Linked DNA regions of Styela clava. The protein of the gene in region 2 interacts with the protein of the main gene of each other region in a pairwise test. Links are inferred from orthologs where the notes say so. Each region holds a gene or a part of one and is shown on either strand. Other genes may lie near its edges. The genes, in order: large ribosomal subunit protein P1-like and large ribosomal subunit protein uL10-like.

Evidence for each region.
Region 1: the proteins of large ribosomal subunit protein uL10-like (region 2) and large ribosomal subunit protein P1-like interact in binary tests that used the Drosophila melanogaster proteins (3 or more experiments, as listed by UniProt). The link is inferred for Styela clava from reciprocal best matches to the Drosophila melanogaster genes RpLP0 and RpLP1.

Annotation. Positions count from the first base shown.
Region 1 is NC_135255.1:4,032,573-4,045,008, reverse strand, and holds large ribosomal subunit protein P1-like, read right to left. Parts: upstream 6,699-12,436; 5' UTR 6,565-6,698; coding exon 6,493-6,564; intron 5,645-6,492; coding exon 5,570-5,644; intron 4,789-5,569; coding exon 4,677-4,788; intron 4,312-4,676; coding exon 4,238-4,311; 3' UTR 4,233-4,237; intron 4,090-4,232; 3' UTR 3,628-4,089; downstream 1-3,627. Other genes in the region: translation initiation factor eIF2B subunit beta-like, read right to left, coding at 11,084-11,285, 11,954-12,132, 12,255-12,350. UniProt on the Drosophila melanogaster protein: Plays an important role in the elongation step of protein synthesis.
Region 2 is NC_135261.1:12,851,203-12,863,638, reverse strand, and holds the start of large ribosomal subunit protein uL10-like, read right to left. Parts: upstream 7,881-12,436; 5' UTR 7,849-7,880; intron 7,673-7,848; 5' UTR 7,621-7,672; coding exon 7,567-7,620; intron 1-7,566. Other genes in the region: uncharacterized protein LOC120330259, read left to right, coding at 9,882-9,993, 10,553-10,713, 11,166-11,298, 11,910-12,046, 12,381-12,436. UniProt on the Drosophila melanogaster protein: Ribosomal protein P0 is the functional equivalent of E.coli protein L10.

The DNA.
Region 1 (12,436 bases), on a different chromosome or scaffold from region 2:
CTTTTTATTCCACAATCGTGATGTAATGCATTTTCGCTAAACAACGAGAAAAAAATACACTTTTCAAAGATTTTTAGAAAAGTTGGTACATATTAGACCCGTAGTAGTATATATTTACGATTAGACTGTGTTTTGGCTTTGTACTCATTTGTCAGTTTCTAGTTGTATTTTTGAAATTTAAAATTAGAACAAATAACCCGATTTTGCAAAATAGTATACTCTCACTTCTTAGAGCCAAGATTGAAATGTAATTTTCCAGACTAACGATTGACGGATAACTTTGCTATTGGACACGAAATTGATTAATGAAACGTCATGCTAAAATTCTCGTGAACGTTGTGGCTTACCTTAATATTATTTAAAAAAAAAAATTCTAAATTTTCAGTCATAAAAATAATATAAGTCGCCGGAAGACCTATAAATATATACATATATTCACGGGTGCTATGGGGTCGAATATTTGTAATCATCCCAGCAAGTCGGCGCTAAGTTACACAACTGAAACATTGTCATACCGGTAGTCGAGTAGCCCTGACCTAGACTATGACTCAGACTTCAGCGATTTGTCCTCTTTGCCAGCGAACTATTCTAGTTCTGAAGGAATACAACATTTAACTTCATTACGAGTCAAACACACAAGTTTCAAAAATGTGTCCAATGTGAATCTACTAAATCCCAGCTAAACCGCAGCGCACTTTCGGCCCGTGAACATGCTTTCGATTCTAATTTTGGCCCGCGGCTAATAAAGTTTGGGAACCCCTGGTTTATAGTGTTTTTTAATGAGATGGACGATCTTGGTGTTCTTCGACGAGTTTTTTTATTATATCTAAAATTACCCCGTTTACTGATGGAAAGGCAATTTAGTTGTTTTGATAGCAATAGTGTCACGGCTGAAAACTCTCTTTTCACCATATCAGAGGTCGGATATGAAAGAATCCAGGGTTCTACCTCCTCAAAAACCGCCGTGTATTCTTGCCTTATAACATTTAACTCCCTAAATCCACCCCGTTTCACATTAAAATAATGAAAACAAAATTAATTTTTCAAAACTTATAATAATGATTTAGGTACATGTCATTCATCCCTGCAGCCTGACGACCTTCACCAAAATACATGATATATATAGGGTCTTCGGTAAAATTCATCCCCCACGCCTCATCCTACCACGTCCTCCAGTCCGATCACCAGAACGTTTTCCCACCGACTGAATGTTATCCTGGTGAAAAACTTTTTTCGTAAGCCAGGCTAGCTACGTCAACTTCTCCAACCACTTATTTTTCGTCTCAATTAAGCTCAGTTAGAACTATAGTTGGTGTATCAACTTGTGCTCCTTTCCCCTCAGCGTTTAATCTCACTATATTACCCATATTTAAATACTGTACATATATATAGTAAGTCCTTGCGTGACGTTGCTCAGGTACAAGTGTGTGTCATCTTCTTGATCTCCTATCATGATATACTGGGAGCATCATGTTTTCTTCGATTGTGAGGGCTTTATTTTGTTCTGAGAAAAGCAAATTTAGCATAAATAACTAATTTATTCACAATATAGTGAATACTCTCATGACCTTCTCTGCGGCACAGCCAGTCCATAGAATTGAGCAGCCATTTGTTTTGGATTCGTGGACCCGGATGGCTTATGGGGTCGGTAAATTTTAAGTCGCTCGCGGGACAATATTATGATTGCTATTCTTTTGCGGATCGCATTCTTACAAAAATTAAGCAGTGATGAATCTCTCGAATAGAATATGAATTTGATTTCCTTATTGCATTGCAACATATCCGAATATTTACTGCGCTATTGAACCCCTGCACTCAGCATCAACTTTTCTGCGCGTTTCCATTTGTCTAATTATAATTAAATTGTAGGCTATTTAAACGAGTAGCTAGCTGTTCAATATAATTTTTAGAATATAATAAAATTTAGTCTAAACGTGTCTCACGATAAATTCTGTTACGTAAAAAGAAATGTAATTTACTCCTCGAGCGTAGATGATAAATAAAATTAATTCATCGTTAAAACCGCCGTTTGGATGTTTCCCCTGGCAAAGACTTCCTTGTTTACTTGGCCAATCAGCAAGATGCAAAAATATCGCCCACTTTGGGAATCACTGTTCTAGACAATTTCTTCAAGCTGAATGGACTGGATTGGCTCAAACTAATCGGATGCACGACAGATGGGGCTCCGGCCATGCTTGGTCGAAAGTCTGGGTTTCAAGCCCATGTGAGAGCCGTGTCACCAAACGTCACCGGTGTACACTGTTTTATACACAGATTCGCCCTTAGCGCCAAGATACTTCCACCGAAGTTGTTATCGTACTTGAACCGAATTATTAAAATTGTAAATTTTGTTAAAGCGTCAGCTCTAAATAGTCGCCTGTTTAAGCTGATCTGTGAAGATCTCGGTTCCGATCACACTTGTCTTCTCTATCACACAGAAGTGCGCTGGCTCTCCAGGGGAAATACAACAAAACGTATTTTTCAATAGAGGAACAAACTACTTGCGTTTTTACGGGAGAAAGATCACGAGTTTCAGAAAGATCTGGAGGATGAGGGATTTGTCATAAGGTTGACTTACTTGGCATACATTTTTGAAACCATCAACCGTTTAAATTTGTCATTTCAAGGACCAAACTGTACTATCGTAGAGTTCATTCAAAACTGAGAGCGCTTGTCCGGAAGTTGGACCTCTGGAAAAATAACGTAGAAAGCAAGCAATATGGAATGTTTACATCCGTGACAACCCTTCCCAGCGCGCCCGATGATGAAGTCTCCCACGAAATCGTTGATCACCCGTCACTGCTCAATGCCGAATTGAGGCATTACTTTCCGGATGTTATATGTTGTGCCTACATAACCGATCCATTTTCTATTGATCCAGCCGACCTGCCTGTCGAGCAAGAGGAGCTCATAGATATCCAGGCTGACCAGACTGCAAAGACGAAACACAAAGAATGTTCTCGCAATCAACTTCTGGCTTAGCATGGCTTCCTCATATGTGACGCTTGCTTCTCGCGCTATTCCCCAGCTGTTAATTTTCCCTTCGACGTGGGAGTGAGAGCAAGAGTTTTCATCCCTTACGACTATCAAATCTAAGAAACGAAACAGACTCCTTGAGCCAATGCATGACTTCCGATTAGCTGTGAGCAAATGTATGCCACGCATCGACCAGCTCGTAGAAAATAAACAAATGCAGCCATCATATTAAAAGGATTGTTTTGTCATTTCACTATGTTGCTCTTCTTTTGAATAGTGGCGGAAAAACAATAACATGCACCACATCAATCTTGGCTGATGCGGCCTAGTTTAATAGAATTTGTTGTTACATTTTGCATGAATCAAATACGTTATTATGACGTCACAAACGGTGAGAAATAGCTTTTCGCGCGCATTATTTGTGTAGGTGGTACGCGAGCACTACACCAAATCCCGAGATGGTACGTGGGCGGATAAAGGTTGGGAAACACTGGACTAGACAGTCCACAAACTAATCCTGAACTGGACCATGGTAATCTGTCTGATATACGTTATCATGAAGACCTGTACCTTTATCGCTAATTCCAACATACAACAGCTGCCATAGCTTCTACCAATAAATCTATACCTGCCATAACAAAATGCAACATATTTGCGCTGTCGATTCTTTTATTTCTTCAGTTCTGGAAAAAACGAGAATACAAATTATATCAAAGCTCTACGTTCAAGTTTGCAATTGCAAACATTATTAATCAAGAGCATGGTGATTTTAATCACTTATTTCTACAACAAAACTTAAATGTCTGCTGTCCATGTACCGTTTCATATATTGAATACCCTTGAGTAAATTTGAACGAACTGGCTTTTTAGGACAGGCCACATTTTTTGGGAATAACTGGCTTCGGTATGGTGATTATATTATGCTAGCAAATTCAAACTTAAGGGTACAGCAAACAATAACTAACCCCATTAGCTGCTGTTTTCATTAAATCCTGGTTGCTCAGTGGGATAGGATTATCTTCATTTGAGACATCGCTTGCGCTTAAATTTTCATCATTGCAACCAATAAATGAGAAATGGAAATAAGAATCGCGGTTTCTTATATGAGATAACCTGAATAAGTTTGAGCGAACTGGCTTATTTGGACAGACCTCATTTTTTGGGGATAACTATCTTCGGAATGGTGATGATATTATGCTAGTGAATAAAAAAATAAACAGCAAATTTGAACTTAATGGCACATCAGAGATACATACATTATTTAATCAAACAGTCCGAATCCCATGTCATCATCGGATTCTTCTTCAGACTCTTCTTTCTTTTCTTCCACTTTAGCTAAAATATGAATTGGTTATCAGTTGGAGCACAAATTTGATAATTCATGTACCCAAAGAAAAGATTTATTATTAGGTTGCTCAGTGGGATAGGAATATCTTCACATAAAATCTGTTTGCGCTTTAGGGTGTCATCATAGCAACCACATCCTTTTACCTTCACTTTTGGTTTGAAATGAATTTCATGTGAAAGCATTAGTAAATCACTCTCTTTTAATAACAAAGAATACCATATATTTCATTGGCTAATGTCACAATAATTACAAATGTAGTATTATTGTTCCATTTCATTAGTTATAATTTTCGTTTTGCATCTAGACTTGAAAAAAAAATTAGCTAGAAAAATTTGTATGGAATTTGTCTTACCTTCCTCAGCACCGCCCTCTGCCGCTGCAGCACCTCCACCACCTGCCGCTGCACCTCCACCTCCAGCACCAACATTACTGATCAGTGATTTCACATCAATACCGTCAAGAGCCTGAAAATCCACCATTGAAAAAATTAAAATGTGTTAATGAACCTTTTTTCCATAGCGACTCGAAATGAAATTATCAATTGTAGAAATATACAAAAAGTTGCTACCGTATAAACACTTCCAACTACTTTCTAAATTGAGAAACCAATGCCATAGTCATGTGAGCGAAGAATGCACCTTAAATACAGGGAGTCCTAGGGTTACAACGGTCGCTGTACACAGTTCCAGTGATGTAGTACTGTACACAGTTTCAGTGATACTGTAAGTCATTTTGGTTGTTTAGGTCAGTTTTTTCGTAACTTGTTTGATCGTTTTTTTTTTACTTTCGCGCTTTGTTATGGACTCAAAGCAAAAAAAAGATGATACTGATGTTAGTGCATCAAGGTTTGCTTTTATTCACGTGATATGGAATTGTTTTATGTTTTTCTAATAAAGTTCTCATTCGCATTATTTGTACATTTCATTAGTGTACAGTACCATACTTTACAATACAGTACGATGTGTATAGAGTAATTCATGCACTGTACCACTGTACGTTCCGACTTACACTGAAATTCGGGTTACACCGAGTCTCAGGAACGGAACTGCGTCGTAAGTCGAGGACTCCCTGTATATGTGATCTGTTCTGCTTTAAGTTTAGTAAGCCCCATTAGCTGCTGTTTTCATTAAATCGTGGTTGCTCAGTGGGATAGGATTATCTTCATTTGAGACATCGCTTGCGCTTAAGTTTTCATCATTGCAACCAATAAATTAAAATTAGAAATAAAAATTGCATCCAACATACTTTTGCAAAAAGGCCGGGCCAATATGACTCCACTGTTACATTGGCAGCACTGGTAAGAGTGGTGATTTTGTCAGCCTGTAGATAAAATAATAGATTAAAATAGTCTGTAACAAAACAAATATTATAAGGCCTATTAATGAACTTAAGTTAACCCACATATTCCTAGTATATTTGTAATGTTAGAACTCGTCAGTACTGTTTATTGGTGGCCATTTCATTCAACCACCCTTCAGACTGTCAGATATAATGGTAAATAATCACAAATTTTCCAACGTGCAAAATGGATTTCGCTTGCATGCATTTTCAGGGAGTACTAGTATACTCAGGTGTGCAGTTGCAACGAAATCCAGTCTGGCTTGTCCCGATTATAATCCTGTAATCGGAAATTAATTGTGGCTGTCACATGACCAAAATTTCATCTTTTTGCTAAAAACTTTCGAATGTTATGGTAAATTTTTTTTCATTCTGGTATCTTGGGATTATTTCTTCTAGTGTATTGTGCAGTGCCGGTTTGCAAATAGAGGCCCAGACTATCTTGTAAAGGAGGGGTTTGCATCCAATTTTATAATTAAAGTCTTTTATTGTGGGTGCTATTCTTGAAATCTGAAAACTGTGCCCTAACTGCCTAATGCAGCAATCAGTAGCGAATTAGCTTGAAGCACTGACCATTATTATTTTAGGACTATCAGACTGTAGGATGAGCCATTTATGGACTTTGCAAACATGCCTCAATTCAGAAATTAGTCCATGATTGCTATGAACACTGGGATTCTGAATAATACCAAACTTAACATTCCCTGCTCTTGGCAGACTGAGGTATACACCCGGCATTGTCAGGAACACCCAACATCAACGTGTCCTGATCTCCTTAACGGTTACAAATCATACCAAGAAAATTGAGATATATAAAAAAAACTGCTCACGGTTATTTCAATTTCATCATCTGTGAGGATCAAAGCAGCGTAAACGCATGCAAGTTCTGAAGTAGACGTCATAGTAAAAGTGTATGTGTGAGATTCAAGAATCGATGGTCAAAATGAACGATGCACGTCGCCGATATAAATCGACCTTAGCCCAAAAGAGAACAGAGCACCTTCAACAGCAATAACACCGTAAAGAAAGACCGAACTACGACCACGTGACTTAACCATTCAACCATGATGTGATTCAATGAGGTTGATTTGAAGGCGGGTGTTTTAACCATTTTATTCAGAACCAATCGAATATATAGAATATTCTGCGGGGGGAAACATGATATATATACTGTATAAGCATAATAGCATACAAATGATATGATAACTGCCGTGATTGATATAAGTTTCCCCGACCCTTGACCCCAAAAAATTCTTTCTATACTTAACAAAATTTTTCGAAACTACTTCCGTGATTTCGCGTTCCCAACCTGGTTTACATGTTCAAACCATTATTTTAATTCAAAACATTCTACCACATAAAGTACCTACCGGTGGATAATTTGAGTTTAGTCTAACGCGGCCGAGGGACTCATTTTTGATTACTTGCAGTCTGCAGTATATATTTACGGCTTACTGAGATCCTTTAAAAACAAAATCATACTTGAGTTAATTAATTAATTCCTTATTTTCGGAAATACAACTAAAAACTGACAATTTGTATTTTTATTAGGCATTTTCTCGACTGCTATGACCCTAGTAGTATGTATTTACACTATGACGACTACTGTATCTAAATAAATTTTATTTTATATGTCTTGAAGTTTACATATACACCGGCGGTCAAGTCCACGGAATAGCCGATTTGTCATTTTCGAGTGCAGATTCCATTCACTTGTAAGCCAAATCATAAATTAAGAGTTAGCCTGATTTTTATAAATGATTTTAATATAAGCCCGCCCCTTGAACAAAATAAGACCTACCGGTATTCGATGGCGCGAAATATTTTTTCTGACGTAGTCGATAGCAAGAAATAATATTTTGTATAATTTAAAATTTCGTGATTTTCTACTTTGTAATTTTGTTTTTGATAAATAAAAATAGAACAAATCTCCCCAAAGTAAGCCCTAGTGTTATTTTCGGGGAAAACGGTCATTTTATGTCATTATGTGTCGGGCTTTTCGTGTCAGCACGGGAAAGTGCTGTATTTTGCTTCGCTGTGACGTGTGGACAGTTTTGGACTTTCATTTGCAATGGCGCGTCTGGTGGTTCCAAGTTTCATTGCTGCATCCTTTTGTGTAATTGGTGATAGCCGTTACTTTCCCAACTTATCGTTCCACTATTTACCTGAAAACAACAAAGCAAGGAGCGCGGATTCAAATATTCATCGCCATTCTATTAAACTTTTTCAAGCAAGTCTGTCTTTTGTTTTGGTAGTCTAGGTTGGGTGACTTGTTAGCTTGCTGGCGTAGACGGTTAGTTAGTAGAGTGTTAGTATTTCTTTGCTTTATCTATATAACGGAATCGCGACTACTTTGAACACAAGTAATAGAATGCATGTATATCAACATGGCAATATATTTTGATATTTTGTTGTTACCGTTTGATCATCCAGTATTCTATTCGACAATCCTTTTATTATTAATTTACTGTGACAAATATTTTTTTTTACCGAGTTTTCGTCCTAATTTTCTCTTTCCCGCTTTTTTACTTCATTAGGCTTTATTATCCCATTCTATTAATTATCAGTGAGAGTTCTGGGTCTGTGGGGAACTGATTGCATTCCACTGTTTTAATTGTGTTAGTGGTTTAATGTTTTGCCCTTTGTATATGCTATGCTTGTTTCGATACCCTTTTTCCTTGATCGATACCGACTTTATGAGTTTTGTGGTTTAATCGTGCCCTTTGCTTTCAAATCAAGAAAGTCAGGTCGAAAAGTATGTTGTTTTTCGTTCAATTTGTAGTATTTTACAGAACCGCCTTGGTCACAGTCAGTGTTCCCTCTAAGGTGTGCGCGCGCACACAGCTTTCAGAGGCTGCGCACACGCATAGATTTACTGCGCACAGACGTATTTGGATGTAATGTAACAATGTTCTCGATTGCAGGTTGGGATTTCCATTTCCAAAAAAGTGCGCACACACCAAAATTTCTGCGCACACATACTACAAAAATTAGAGGGAACATTGACTCACAGTAATCACTCCCGTGTCTTCAGTCGGAAATTTGAGTTGAGGATTCACATCTTTGGTCATCTTCTCGTCTCTGATGATTGCATAATAACGAGTTTTTTACAATGGACGCTCAGTTCCAGACGAGAAAAACATTATTTGTCAATGTCCACACGATGTGCAGAGAGATATTTGTGAGACGGGGAGAATTTGCGGAAATAGAAATCAACGACATAATATCGAAGTTCACGCACAAGCTGACGAAAAGTGTAGAATATGGTTTTAGTTTCCAAACGGGCAAAATACGAAATAATAGCGTAAATATGAGTAACATTTTAAATGAAGCGAAATCCAATGTTTTTCGTTGGTATTCTGACACCGTTTAAATTTGTGCTAGAGGACAATGCGGGACGACGGCGAGGATATTTTGACCCACATTTCACTCCTGCTTTATCACCAATCTGTTATACATATATATACTTTTGAGACTTTCCAGGCGGAAGCTGTCGACGCTTCAAATAGCAGTGAATTTGGACGACCCACAGATTAGTGTCGATGCTCGGACCGAATGTGATTACTTACCCTATTATAAACTGTCCACCTTTCCCTAAGCTATGGCATAGTGAAGTTCCCTACGCGAAGACGCCCTGCCAACAATTCATCGGTTCCTCCTATAAACTATAAATGCAACGTAGGAAATATGTTTCCAGATGGTGGAAGTGGCAAATCAGTAGCTTCAGGAGACTCCTGACAGAGGCTGCCCAACCCGCGGCCCACCAGACTGTTTTCTGTGACGAGCGCTGTAAAGGAGTTTGGGAGCAGATTTTTTGGGTTTTCAGCTTTATATCTAGGCTCAAGTATGTTTCGTGATTTTGGATTGATTGTTCCGGTTATCTAAATATATATATGTATTAGGTCATTGATATTATATATTTCTCGATTATTATATTTCTCGCAGTTGCCTACTGCGCTTTCTGTTCGACGAACTCGAAAGATATTGTGCGATGATCGGCGATGAACGCTGCGCATATATATATATATATATATAAACGAATTTGCAACCCAAATTTAAAAATTAATTTCATTGTGATTGCTATCTTTCGTGTCGGCTCCGATTTCCCTTATAGCCATCCGTCAACGACGTCAAAAAATTGACTTAATTACTGGGATTTTTACAAATTCAACTTAATGTATTCGTTTGGAAATCTTTGTAATATTACTTTTCCAAATACTCATATATATTGGCGATTCGAATTGTACAAATCGCCCACTGAAAAGTAATTAAATTCACGAAACATTGGCACACGCTATGCTCATTTAAAAATTAAACAATATCATAGTCACCGAAAATGAATAAACAAATACAATAACGCAAATATAATATTGAATAAGCGTCTTTGATTGTTGGTAACAAGTGGTGCAGATTCTCTGTGGTCGCCAGAAGTGGTTCACGAGTGCGTTATGAAATCCAAGTCTTTGAAGGAGCGACGCGCAACTGGCGTGCCGTGCCGTGTCCAGGTCACGTTCTACTAGATATTCGAACAGCAAACTGCTATTACTTCTAAAAAAGAGGCAAAATAGTTTCGACCTCTGACTACGTGCACAAAAAACATCTGGTTTGGCTGGAAATCGGTATCGTAAGTAATAACATAAGAGTGGATTGACGAAATCTCTTCCAAAAACTTTAGGCGCTTGGAAGTAGCACTGTTAATTTGTTTGCTGCAATGATGATTTTATTTATCATTATTAGAGCGCAGACGAGGAACCGATATTATCATGGAAACTCGGAAGACACGCACGTAAAATATTTGTTACACGCAAGCAAATTTTCGTTCACAAATATGAAGATTTTGAATTATATCATCATTATTTTAAAACTGGACGGGAAGCCGTGGTTTGCCATATGATTAGGCCGTCATACCGGCTTTCCTCTTCCCGGGATAAATATGTGAATCCTATCCTAAATTGAAGTTCATTGAAATCTCCAATGTAGTCAATGGAAACATCAATACATCACCTCAAAAATTACATAAAACGCGTTTTTTCGAAAGTATAGTTGCGTGAGAAAAAATATTATTTTGGTTGTCCTCATGGAGAAGGACGTCCAGTACTTTGTAGAATGTGAAAAGGGAAGGACTGGCGGAATACAGATTGCCGACAAAATTGTCGATGGGCGAATTTACCACGCCATGCCGATGAAAAACAACAAAATTAGCAGAGTGCAAATCTTGCGCAAGCTCGCCTCTTCGGGTTTTCAAAAGGACTAATTGATTTTCAGAAATACAAGTATATTTTTAAAATTATATTGCACCAATTCGTCATTTCTTCTTTAACAAAATACATTATTCTCGTTTCTGAGCATCTACCCAAACTTGAACTACTCCTGAACTCAAGTTCCCATAACCCTGATGAAGAGATTCACCTTGCAAAATTGTCACAACTCGTGATCATCAGGATGATAAAGTTCACTTAATAATCTGTACATGTAAGAAGGCGCATTACCACCAATATTTGATATGAAAAGTGTCACTAGTTCAGGTGGAACATAATCAAACATTGGTGAATATACTTGAACACCACATAGTTCATTGCTTCCAGCTATACCATAATCCAACACAGCTTGCGGCGAAGTGAGCCTGAAATTAAAAATAGGAATTACATTGCGGTCTGAGTTGATGCTCTCTTAGGAGCTAAGCGTTATACGTCACGATTGCACCTCTGATTACCGTACGTGGGTTCGCATCCTGTGAAGAATAATTATGTGTGAGAGGATTGCTGCTGTAGGGTGGTTCACATACGCGCTGGTCTGTTACGGCTTTCTCCACCACTAAGTCCATGTCCATATACACAACAAATGTCTAAAGGCAATAATGAATGAGGTCGTCTTATCCGCTCTTCCTCGTCCCCGCGATGAACATGAAAATCCTACAAGTGTTCGTCTTCACACTGGCATACTTGGGATTTTATCAAGATGAAAATGGTGTGCTTTACGACGAAGAGGCCTTGCCTATCCTACATCTTTGAAATATTGTAATTAATGTAAGTTGAATTATTTCTTTGCGAAAAGATCGTCGTAACTTATCTTTATCTCAAAGTGATCTTCCTCCACCTGGGAGGACAAGCAGGCTTTGTTAACTATTTTAGTCAAGAAGATATTTAATCCCATCTTCAGTGTTACTTGGTAATCACCAGTTACGCAACTATTCATCATTTCTCTTTGGTAACAGTTTGGGATTACTTTCATCTGCCAATCCAATATTATACTAATAAACAAAACTACAAAGGCAAAAATGATGACACTTACCTGTTGAACATGGCATCTTTCCCAGCGCTGTCAGCATAATGCATGGGACAAAGTTTATACATTGCTGCCAGAACAATTAACGGTACTGCATGGCGTTTGGCCGCTAGTGCAACTAGACGAGTTCCGACCACAGCTTTTAAACCTCCATTGGCAAGTATAGAATGGGTTCCTATGATAACCTGTTGTGATGTTTAAAGTGACAAAATTAGAAATTAAGCAAGATGTCATTCCTTAAAATCCGTTTTTCCTGAACTTTTTCACCATTGAAATAGTGATATTCGAACTTGATCAAAGATCTTACTTTATTAACTCGAGACATGATAGCAAACACTGCTGAATCCGTAATGATGGTTGTTTCAATTCCACTTTCAGCCAGAGATTTCGCAAGTATATGACCCTGTAAAAATAATGGATTCTATATGTTGATTGACTTGATCAACTTGGTGCAAGATTTTCTATAATGAAGCCAAGTAAACTCATAGG
Region 2 (12,436 bases):
GGCGTCTAGAGCTGCCGCAAAACCATGGCGGGATTTTCAAACCACGGCCGCTAAGACCAAACCCACAGCGACTGACTTTTTGGCTGCCACAAACCAATAGCAGGACGCCACTGTGACGTCGAAATGACGTAATTTTTCAGTGACGTAGTCAGGTGGGGGTTAGGAGTACCGTAAAAGCAGGTAACTTCGGATGGTTTGTAATTTCGGATGAAATTTTTAATCGTTTATATCTCGACTAAATTGCGTCATATTGTGCTTATGGCAGTTTCTATAGTGAGGGCTTATATATCCAAATCTGTTATCATATTCAATCGCGCATTTTAATTTATATTTTGATTAAAAAAATCATGTTTTAGAATAAAATTGACACTCCATTTTCGAGCGGCTCAAATTGTGACTTCTACTGATGCTAACTTCGTCAAAATAGCGTCATTCGATAGAGGGCTTTATCAATGTATATAGAAAATTAGACTGACCGCGAGATGTCATGGGAGACCCGATAAAAAATTAAAATTCGAATAATTTTTTTTATCATAATAATAGCATTCGACGCACACGTTGAACTTGACGTCACCCTGACGTCGCTCACTCCGAAGCCGACGTCATGTTGCATCGTCGTTACAGATTTGACGCCAGACAATCGGGCGCCGACAGGTTGGCGTAGATTTGAAAATAATTTGCTCGATTGATCAATATCGGCTAAAATATGCGCATCAACAAATTTCTGTGGATCGGAAATAGAGCTCGACCGATATATCGGGCCGATATTGCGTGTTTGCCGATATATCATATCAGCGTTAGTCGCTTTTCCACGTTCTAAAAAATGAGTATTTTTCCCCAGGAAATATCTGCGGCCGAGCGTTTTCTTTTTTTCGCTTCTCTCATTTTGCCTTTCAATGAACAGAGAGTCCTCGCCTTCGAATATCTTGTAACCCCACTAGGCTTGCACGTAATCGACAAAAATCAATTCCGTAATTACGAAAAAATTGCATTATCCGACTTTTACATTATCCGACTTTGCTACCTAGTCAGCATTTTATATTAATTATTGATGCTGAATTATTGACGATATTCCGAGTACCAAGCTTTATTCTATATCAAATCATTTCGCGGCCTAAATGTTAATTATTTAGCCGGCGATAAATTCTTACCCGTAACTCGTTGTAAATTAATGCTAATAAATTCTATTTTGTTTTTTAATGCGCTGTGATTTGTATTAATAAAAGTGATTGAGTCGGGAAAAGAAAGTAGCCTAGCCTTCTCTCCTTTTGAGCGCTTATAGCGACGGTAAAATTCGTCTCATGTCTGTTTCACGGAGAGAAAGAAAAATACGCCTTCCGGAATTACAATCAACTATCACACATTCTTATTTATCATTATCAGCGCCGAATAAAAAAGATACCAAATCGTGAAGACAAAAAAGTCTGTCGGTGTTAATTGCATTACGGTGATAACGCTTATAATAATATCTTTTTGACCGTGAAATCAAACGCTCAAACGGGGTGACAACTCGTCATGCCGGCTCAAAACTGCTGCGAATACCGGAACTCTAACTTCTTCTACTTGTTAAACTTTCATTTTTTACAATCGACGGAATTGACTGCTTGGAAGGACCACGTTTCAAACGCGAAACAGCTCGACCAATAATTACGACTTTACGTAATTTGTAACTTCCCTTCCGTAACTCGAAATAATTCCGTAAATTACGTGCAAGCCTACTCCCACCTACTACTGTATGGATCAAAATGGACTTCTATAAGCTTTTTACTGACTGCCTTTTTTCTTTTGTGCATTAATGTGTGTTCTTATTATTTGCTGTGAAACTTTTATTAATGATGCAAGCACTGTGTAGGACTGCTTTATTTTTCAACATAAACTTTTAATTGACTGAAACGGAATGTTTCTTTCTATTTGTATTCACTGTAGGGTTCAGGTTGTAGATATCGGTATGTCGATATCGGTCACTAGTTGGCCGATATATCGTTATCGGTGCCAAAAAGTGATATCGGTCGAGCTCTAATCGGAAATTCATGGCGTCAAATGCTGGAAATGTAATACAATTAAATTTATTAAAAATGGCAATTAACAAAAAGCATATTCATTCGTGTTGACAATTTCAAATTCTCCATTTGGTACGGCAACATATGGTTCAAAATAGAAAAATTGTAAGCAGTCGACAAATATTGCGTAAATATAAAAATATCTAACCAGCGATAAATAACAACAATCATTGTTGCAAGTGAGTTCCGTTTCGTGAATTTAACGAAAGTAATTTTAATAAAGTTGCCAATTGCCAAATTGGTGTTTTGTCGTGATTTATGCACGACCGCCATTTAAGTAGGTCAAGTTTAATAAAGAATCCAGTCATGTGCATGCTCAATTATATTTATTGTGCGACTATACATGGTGTGGAGTGTAAAAACGCTATCGAAACATTATCGGCTACAACAAAATCGACTATGATCGGATCTAAAGTTACGATAAGAGAAAATAAAACGAGACATTTTAGTATAAAAACAACTTGAAAGTGCCACTCCGGAAATCCCACGGTCGTCATCGTCACTCGCAACGTCGATTGAACATCTGGCATTCACGCAACGACGTAAAGCGTGTTTTGTCTTCACGCACGCACTTTTCGCTCTAGTTGCGGTGACGCAGGGAGGGGATACACCCATCCGAAGTTAGATATTTATTTGTGTCGTTACAGATGACGAAAAATGAGACAATTAAGACAGAAAAAATAATCCGATCCTAGAGAAAATTATATGCAAATGCAGAGAATTACATCAATGTAATATATTTCAAGTTTGAAACGGCAGAGTTATCGATTAAAATAAAGTGAAATCATCCGAAGGTAGCTGCTTTTACGGTAACACATACAGTACGGCACACTATCCCGAATCCGGATTTGCGTCTACATTCCGGAAGAGCCAAAATATGAATAGGCGTCTGTGAAACCGGGGGCGTCGAGTTGTCTGCGAGCTCGATGCGTGAGAACGTCAGATGTCTGGATATGACGTCAAAGAAAGTCACGCACAGTTCGGCACGGCTCTCGAATTTTGCTAATTTGATTTTCGTTTCTTACCGATGTATACTGACCTATATGGTTAAATATACGATGTATTTCTGAATCATTATATTCAGTCTACTGTTGGTAGTGCCTAATTAAAATAATGTCGCGTAAATGCAAACGTCTGTGAATAAATAATTACTTTTAAATAATATCAAGAGATTACAAAATTATGCGTTTCGATTAATACGTCTACGAGTCCAACTAATTTTATTATAAGTGTTTGTGACTACATGACATCGTTTGAATTGTCGTATAACGAAGTCAAAACGATGCACGATATCGAAGTTTTTTTTTCAATAGTTAAATTAATATCGATAGTGAAACTTTGTATGCCCGTTAATACCTGTAATTACAACAATTTAACATAGCATCTTCGGTTATTTAGAACTGAAACTTCCAGAACGCACAACGATTACGAATTACGATATCATTTAATAATTATATTCGAGATTTTTATTTAAATTTGAGCGTCAACAATCTATAGTAAAATAAAAGCCTCGATGATTAATTGGATTAAACTATTTTGCCAAATTGATTCTTGTTTTTCACAGACTACACAAGTTGATCATTTGCGGCATACGAATGCATCAATGCGGCATTATATTAATTTGATTCTTGTTTTTCACCTATCTATTCTTGCATAAATCCCGCAAATTAACATTTGCGGTATATGATTGCCTCGACGTGGCATTGAATTAAAATATTCTCGTATTCCGTATACTTCGAAGTTAAACATTCGCGACATATGAATGTATCGATGCCGCATTATATTAGTTTGAATCTTGTTTTTCATCGATCTATACTAGTATAAATTACGCAAATTGAACATTTGCGGCATATGAATACATCGATGCGGCATGATATTACATTATTTTGCTAATTTGATTCTTGTTTCTTGCCGATCTATTATTGTGTAAATTACGCAAGTTGATCATTTGCGGCATATGAATTAAATTATTTTCGTATAGATTAACCCTTTTTTTCCGCTGTATACAATCGACTTTATGTACCATTTTATAATATGCAATGACCAGTTAACCAAACGTACAAGGAACACCCCCAATATCTCTTTAAAAAGCTTATTTTCGCGTCTTCCTACTAAAACGCGCCCAAATGACGTAGGCGAAACTGTTCGACCCTACGCGTGTAAGAAGAGAGAAATTTCAAAAAATTTTGAGAGAACGTTTCACACTCTTATCGCTTCGATGAACACGTGTTACAAAGAAACGAAATTCCAAGCGCTCTTCTGAAAGAGGGTTACGTCACCTTTGCAGAAAAACCAGACTCAGCTTCGCAAGCGAAGCGAAACGCGAAATAATCAATGATATGTGAGAGCATGTCCACGATAGTTGTCTGGAATCTTTGTTTGTTTATTATGTGCGCGAAATTGTTTCCCGCTCGTTCAAATGACTTATTTTTGAAGTAATGACAAATACTTTCGTGTATCTCTAAGCTTTGAAATGCCTACACAAATAAAATTCACTTAGTAGTAAAATAAAAAATTTACAAAAAAACAAAATGTTGACAGATCAAGCACGGATCATAGTTGGATGCTCAAAATGATTTAGTTAGTGCGGAATACTTCACAAAACATGAACATAAACGTAAAATAGTCCGAAAATAACTATTATGACCAAGGATGGTAATACGAATATATAAGTTATACGGAACAAAAGAGTTAACATTTGTGGCAAATGAATGCCTCGATGTGGCATTGAATTAAATTATTCTCGTATACCGTAACTTTCGAAGTTAAACATTTGCGGCATATGAATGTATCGATGGCACATTATATTATTTTGAATCTTGTTTTTTACCGATCTATACTAGTATAAATTATGCAAACTGAACATTTGCGGCATATGAATACATCGATGTGGCATTATATTAAGTTATTTTGCTAATTTGATTCTCGTTTTTCGCCGATCTATTCTTGTATAAATTACGCAAGTTGCACATTTTGCGGCATATGAATGTCTCGTTGCGGCATTAGATTAAATTATTACTTTATGAACTAATTCATCTAATGCTATATCGAGGCATTAATTTTACTGTTTATCGATTGTGTGTTATCAAAATGTAATCCATTTATTATCGTTAACACGCCATCCTATCTACATTGAAAATGAGAGAAACACGGCACGCCAAGGTTTACGTCGAGGAACGGCCGATGCGTGCCTGCGTGCGTCGATTGAAATTCAGTGACGTCACACGCCGTCAATCGTTTTTTGCTCATTTCTCTCGAACGCACCGGTAAAATTTTTTTTACATCGGTAGATCTGAATATATTTTCACGAGGAATTCAATGGTGATGGTTTTAGATTGCGCTTTTTGTTAGTTTACTGCGCAGCTTCAATTTATCGATATCGGGAGACAAAATCCGCCAGACGTCCATCGAAGGAGGGATATTCGATCACCGTTAAAATAGGTTTCTCTAAAACAAGAGATTGTCTCTCGATCTGTAAAGTGTGCCGTACTGACATATGCAAAAGTTGTTGAGCCAGGCCAACTAGAAGTGCATGTGTTACAAAACTATACCTGTACCAGACCCTAATTCCGCATGATAAACTAAAATATGGTACATGAATTTGTAAATATACCGGTAATAGCGCCATAAAACCATGGCGGGAGACGGCGTGGTCTGTTTGTGGCAGGAGCTGCCATGAAGTGGTAAGAACTGCGCCTCATTAAAGAAGTTACCAAAACCCATGCAATTTTCAGAATTTACCTCGCTTATGCCAAGTATTGGCACTAAAATGAATAAATATATATATACCGTATTTATTCGATTATAACGCGCAAAATTTTGAACTGAATTTTTGGCAAAAATCAATGCTGCGCGTTATACACGAGGTCTGAGAAATGCGGTATTGAAAATGTGGTTTTAAACATCTGAAACGTGCGTGCGCTCGCGCATGCACATTCCAATGCAGGACGATTTCGTGCAAGCACACGCACATGCGACAGCTCAGCGTGCGTTTGACATTCGTGCAAGCGTTCGATTTCGTGCAAGCACACGCACATGCGACAGCTCAGCATGCGTTTGACATTCCTGCTGCGTTGAGAATATTTATTTGCCATTATCGTACTGTACTGTAGATACCCATTATATATTACCCATTATCTATTATGGCAAGACAAAAACGTTCTGCACTGATTTAAACATAACCCAAACAGAAATCGAACAGTTGTTTGGTGAATCAGAGACTGAATCCGATTTTGAAGAGTTTTGAATTACTGTGTGCTTTTAATAAATTTTTGTTCATGCTGTGAGTTGTTACCTTATGTGCTTACCAGTAGTTAGAAGAGAAAAAATAAAAAAAAGAATTTTATACCAATTTTCATTCAAAATTTAAAGGTGCGCGTTATACACGAGCCAGACTGGATTCCATGGCAGGTGCACGCCCGAGGGCGCTAGCGCTCCGCAAAAATGCACGCGAGCGAAATCAATTTTGCACGCCGAAAATTTGCAATTGCTCACCAATGTAAATCGGTTTAAATGGTTTTAAAATCAATAATCCAGTAATATAAAGATGCCAAAATATTATAACTCCACAATTGTCGACAAATACCAGCTTGCAAGATTTGGTCTGATCGAAATATTGCGAAGCAAAAAGACCATGGACCTTTCCCCAACCTTTGACCCGCGAAAAATTCCTCTCATTGTTACGTCCTTTTTTGCATCTTGCTGATTGGCCAATGTCACGAAGTAAACAAGGAAGTCGATGCTCGGGGAAAGGTCCATATCGTGTTGAATGATAGGAAGTAGGAATCCCGTGAGAATAGTTATGGACGAAAAGATCGCCTCCGCACCAATGGCCAAATACGGCTCTGATTCAGCGTATTTTTCATACAATAATTTTACACGAATGTACTGAACAGTACCGGTATCTAAAGTTGCTCAAACACTCCCAAAATTAGTAACAAAGTATGAAAATAATGTTTGGGGTTAAAGGTCAAACGTCCATTTTGCTCTAATTTGACGTATTTTTTATCCATTAATTCTGCGTAAAAACACTACCAAAATTAATGACAATGTATGTCCATTTTGCTCTGGTTCAACGTATTTTTTATCCAATAATTTTACGCGGATGTACTGAACAGTACCGGTATCCAAAGTCGCACAAACACTCTCAAAATTAGCGACAAACTGTAGAAATAATGTTTGGGGTCAAAGGTCAAACGTCCATTTTTTCTCTGATTCAACGTATTTTTTATCCGATACCGGTAATTTTACGCGGATGTATTGAGAGGTATCTGATGTCAAAGTCAGTTGCACGCGAGTGCAGTTGTTTTGCACGTCGTGAGCTATAATTGCACGCCAGGAATTCTTATTTGCACGCGGGAATTTCTGATTGCACGCCCGATTTCTCGTTCAAAAAGGCCATGAAATCCAGACTGGTACACGAGTGCGCGTTATAATTGAATAAATACGGTACCTAGTATCTTTCAACTGTACACAAGAACTTCATAAAACATATTAAATCACTTACAATCATTTTTAAGAAGTAGTTCGACTTCCATGTTGCTCTGTCTTCCCTGGGCATCTTGGTTGTGCTCAAGGATTTCCGTTTGGAGTTTTAAAGACAAAGCGAGGATCTGAAGAAACAAACTCATGATATTGCATCAACGTACATCTCGTAGCATAAAAAAAGATGACATATCTTGTCTTTCCTAGAACTTGTAAATATATGTAAAAAGAACATCACTATTTTTATGCGAAAACGGTTCATGATCAATCGATTATAATAGATTAGAAAAAGACGACAACCAACCTCGACGGTCAGGCGAGAAAGGACCGATCGCAGACACGTGACAGTTTTCAACTAAATCATTTCCACGCTTCACTGACTTAGAGTTTGAGCGAATTAGTATTTATTTACGGATAGAGATTGCGCAGGTTTTTTAGCATTATATCGATATTGCATATATGTTGGGTCTTATATTGTGGTATTAGACGACAGAAAAAGTCGGTCAGCAGTAACATGACAACCCTGTGAATACTGCCAGAACAATATCGAAAATATACATCACCCCCGAGAATCGAACCGCAAACCACTAAACCAATGGTTCTCAAACTTTCTGAGCCGCGCCCCCTTTTAGAATTTACCCAAGTCTCGCGCCCCACTTCAAAAATACCTAGCTGACAATAAGCTACAAATAACAGATAGTAAGGTGAAAGTATGTTTTATTCAAAAAACACGTTGAAAATACGTCGATGGAACCAATGACATTAAATAATGAAATAAATTAAAAGTTTTGAAAACACGCAAAATTGTTGTTATTTTTATTACTACAGTTGTTTTCAGCTGACAAAATAAGAAATGTAAATATTCAATATAAAGCAATCAAACCAATATTTTAATTTTTAAATAGCTTCACGTCCTCTCAAAACATTGTCTACGCCCCACCGTTGAGAACCACTGCCCTTAAACTGAAGCTCACCACGATGAATTAACCCTCAACACGTTTGAGTACTGATAACAACGTATGAAAAAAACGGGATATCATGAAATCAGAGCCCGTATAAAACTACAATTGTGTACACTACGCCTGGGAATCGAGTTTCAGATGCCGTGGTCGCGCTATAGTGATTAGTTATCACTACACATAGATTGTTTGTAGATTGATCTGGTTTATGTATTATAACCCCAGCATTGACTGACAATAGTTTTGTCTTGTATTTGTCAACTCGAACTGTCTATCTGTCGATAGCCTTCGGCTGTAGTAAGGAGACGTTCGAGTTGACGAATGCAAGACAAAACTATTGTCAGTCAATGCTGGGGTTATAATACATAAACAAGATCAATCTACAAACAATCTATGTGTAGTGATAACTAATCACTATAGCGCTTGGCCTCTGGGATAATTAAAACATAGTCTTTAAATGGGATTATGTTTTCACATGTAATAATAACTCTGAAGATACAAATTGTAACCCGATTAGATTATTTTAAATTAGATTTAATCAGATATTAAGCGGAAACACAGAAAACAGAGAAATGTTCGACTTTGTTTGTAACCCTTTGTATATAAAGAATCGTTTCTTATGTATGAAAAACAAAAATTTAAGCAGAATTTCATTTCCACAACTGAAAAATTGAAAAGAGCTTACTGTAGTTCTGGGCCAATTATCTCCCCGCTAACTTCAATATCAACTTTCGCTGAAATTGGTGAGGCATAAAAGTTATTTTATAAAAATTTATTTATAATGGCTATATATACGTGACATGTCAACACTGCTTGAGAAATATTGGGGTAGAAAATATAATTTTTTGTTGCTGGTGGGCATGACACAGTTGGGCAGTGCATAGATCAATTGATCGATGCTAAAACTTCATAAAACTATATTGTATAAACATATTGAGCATGCTATAGTATTATTCTTATTATGACACTGTGGCATAGTTATGAACAAGCACATTTGAGTCGTCATTAATTTATTCTGCATAGTCGTCGGTAAAAATTCTACGAATTCTAACATCACAAAAGGAAACAATTCAATTACAGGAAATACGAGAAAGCTGCACTAAGTAAGCGTACATTCGTTGAGTACATTGTATTACAAAAAAAAAAAATGCATTCGTTTAGTTTCACGAAATATATATATATATATATATATAAGCTTTCCGTGGTTAGCCGTTTAATTACGACACGTAAGCATAGGTGTTATAGGAAGGTGTAGGGATCCAAGGGTTCTGGAATACGGCAATAGAACTATTTTTTCTTCATTTTTAGAGCGTCTTACTTTTCGTCTTTTCACCAAAATACTGAAGTGATTTTTGTGTGATGATTGGAATCATATAAAATGAGCTGTCACATAAGTAAACACGGCCGCTGTTTTATTCTAGCCTATGTACTCGTTTGCTTCCATTATCCGAAGATTCAAGCAATGCGGCCTGATAGACTGCAGATCAAAGGTAAAGTGGTATTTTTCATGTTTTTTTTTTACTATATTTTTCACTCCATGATAATTTGGATATATGTAAAAGATGGCTGCAACCTAGGTCTAGCTGTTGTTTGTAATTGTCGTAGTTTGTAAATAAAAAATTCAGTGTGCGAATATATTCAAATATATATAAAAGTAAAATAATACGACCAAGTTTACAAAACTGAATAAGTAGAATGAAGTCATAGTTTTCAGTCTGAATTTTCTAACCGCTTGGCCACGGAAGCACCACATTTGTACATGCTTAAAGCATTAAATTTTTATTTCATCTATTTGGAATTCAAATAAAATTATTTTTAATGAATCATGGACTCATGGAACTGCTGCAGTAAGTCACGACATTAAGTATTCGATCATTTAACCCTGCTAAAACGCTTTAAATTGGTTATTCGCGTGCTTTCCAAATTGCGGCGCATTTACTATACCTTATATGTATTGATTGCTCTGGCTCTTTCAAATTAATATTAGTTGAATAAAAACTTACCATTGGTTTATACTTTTCATTCATCTGTTCTTTCTTTATGCGGCAGAAGTGAGAGATTCGGTTAAGAAATATATTCATTTTGTCGGGGATTTGGCAGATGATAAGCCACACACTGCGTACGATTTCAGAGTAATGATCAACCAAGATAAAGCAGAGTGCTTCATGCAAGAAGTTGAAAACTCGACAGAGTTAATTTTTAATTTCCAGGTATGTCTTATTTTATATAATGAGAGAGCCTAACAAGGTGTCTCCAAAATGTCGTTTCCCACTTGTCTCACGTGTCCTACCTGCCCCCCTTGTACCACGTGTCCCACTTGTCTCACTTGTAACACGTGTCCCACTTGCCCCACTTGTACAACGTGTCCCACTTGTCCCGGAGAAGTGGGACACGGGACACGTGTAACAAGTGGGACACGCGGGACACGTGGTACAAGTGGGACACGACATTTTGGAGACACTGCAGTAATGCAAAAATATTCAAGAGATGGATATACGTAATAAATACAGGAACCCCCGATGTATTGTCAGTAATAATAATGTTCTGTAATCAGTTATTTTTCAAAGCAAATAGTAAACAAATGAAAAGAGAATAGTGCATGCAAGGGTTCTAATGCAACACATCCGATTTGTATTGACGTGTCTTTTTTCCAACATTTCAGGCTTTATCGCCATCGACATTTACTTCAGATGGGAAAATATCAGCTTTTCTGTATATTTTAGAGGATGGAACAATAATCAACAACACGAACAGCGTGAGAAGGGGTCATTTCGAGATGTTTGCAGACAAACAGGGTCTGTATTACACTACCAGGACAATCGCTCAAATGCTACGCGCATTGGGCACCCTCACATAAAAATTATCACATGGGTATTTAAAAGCATTATAAAATCAATCGATGATTTCAACAAAGGTATGGTTGTGTATTAAATTAAATTTGTATGTATTCAAGTGTGAGTGCAATATTTATATTTTCACAGTATAATCCATTTGTATATACTGTATATGTATACTGTATTTGTATATACTGTATATGTAGATTCATATGAATATATTTATATACTTACTATAGTGTAAAATTTATACCATGCACAAGAGGTACATGTGTTTCTTAGTGTTTTCCCAACATTTGTTCCGTTTTCTTTTGTCCAAATCCATATTGTATGTTTAAAATCCTCGCTAAGAAATTAAAATAAAAATATTCATAGTCAACGTGCTTAGGAGTGATAATGACTGATTTTACTATTTCATTGTTCGGTGACAAGGGTTTTTGGGGTGCGCATAATATGCCTACTCATGTTCGAATAATGAATGTGTAATATTCAACTTCTCAATAAACGATCTAATTTTTTATAAAATTATGATATTGCTAAAAAATAATGATAACCAATGACTTTTGTTACAGCAACATACGGGATCTGTTTTGTCAACATGGAATCAAACAGTCTCATACTTACACAAATATCCTTGGATATATATCGATTTGGATATGTGAGAGCATTCCGCAAAACTGTGAATGATGAAAGTACTCTGAGTATGGCTGTAAGTACAAACGTCGTGCAATACTTCTTGGAGTACCATGTCACTAATGTAAATTTCAAAACCAGGACTAAATTCATACCTATATTCTGAAACTTGAGAGTTGAAAATTTTTTGTATGTAAAAATTGTTTTATTATAAATTCATTCCACTCATAATTTACGTTGTATAATAATTATCATCAATTTTCCTTTTTGAATTCAGAACAAAATATACCGTATAACCAGAATGCTTGAACTAATATGAACTTATATATACACAATACGTTGTTTAATGAATGTCATTGAAGTATAATATTCCAGTACACTATTCTCGATGATATCTTTTTTAAATTTAGGATAAAATATACCGCATAATCAGAAGGCTTGGACGAATAAGAACTGATACCGTGGA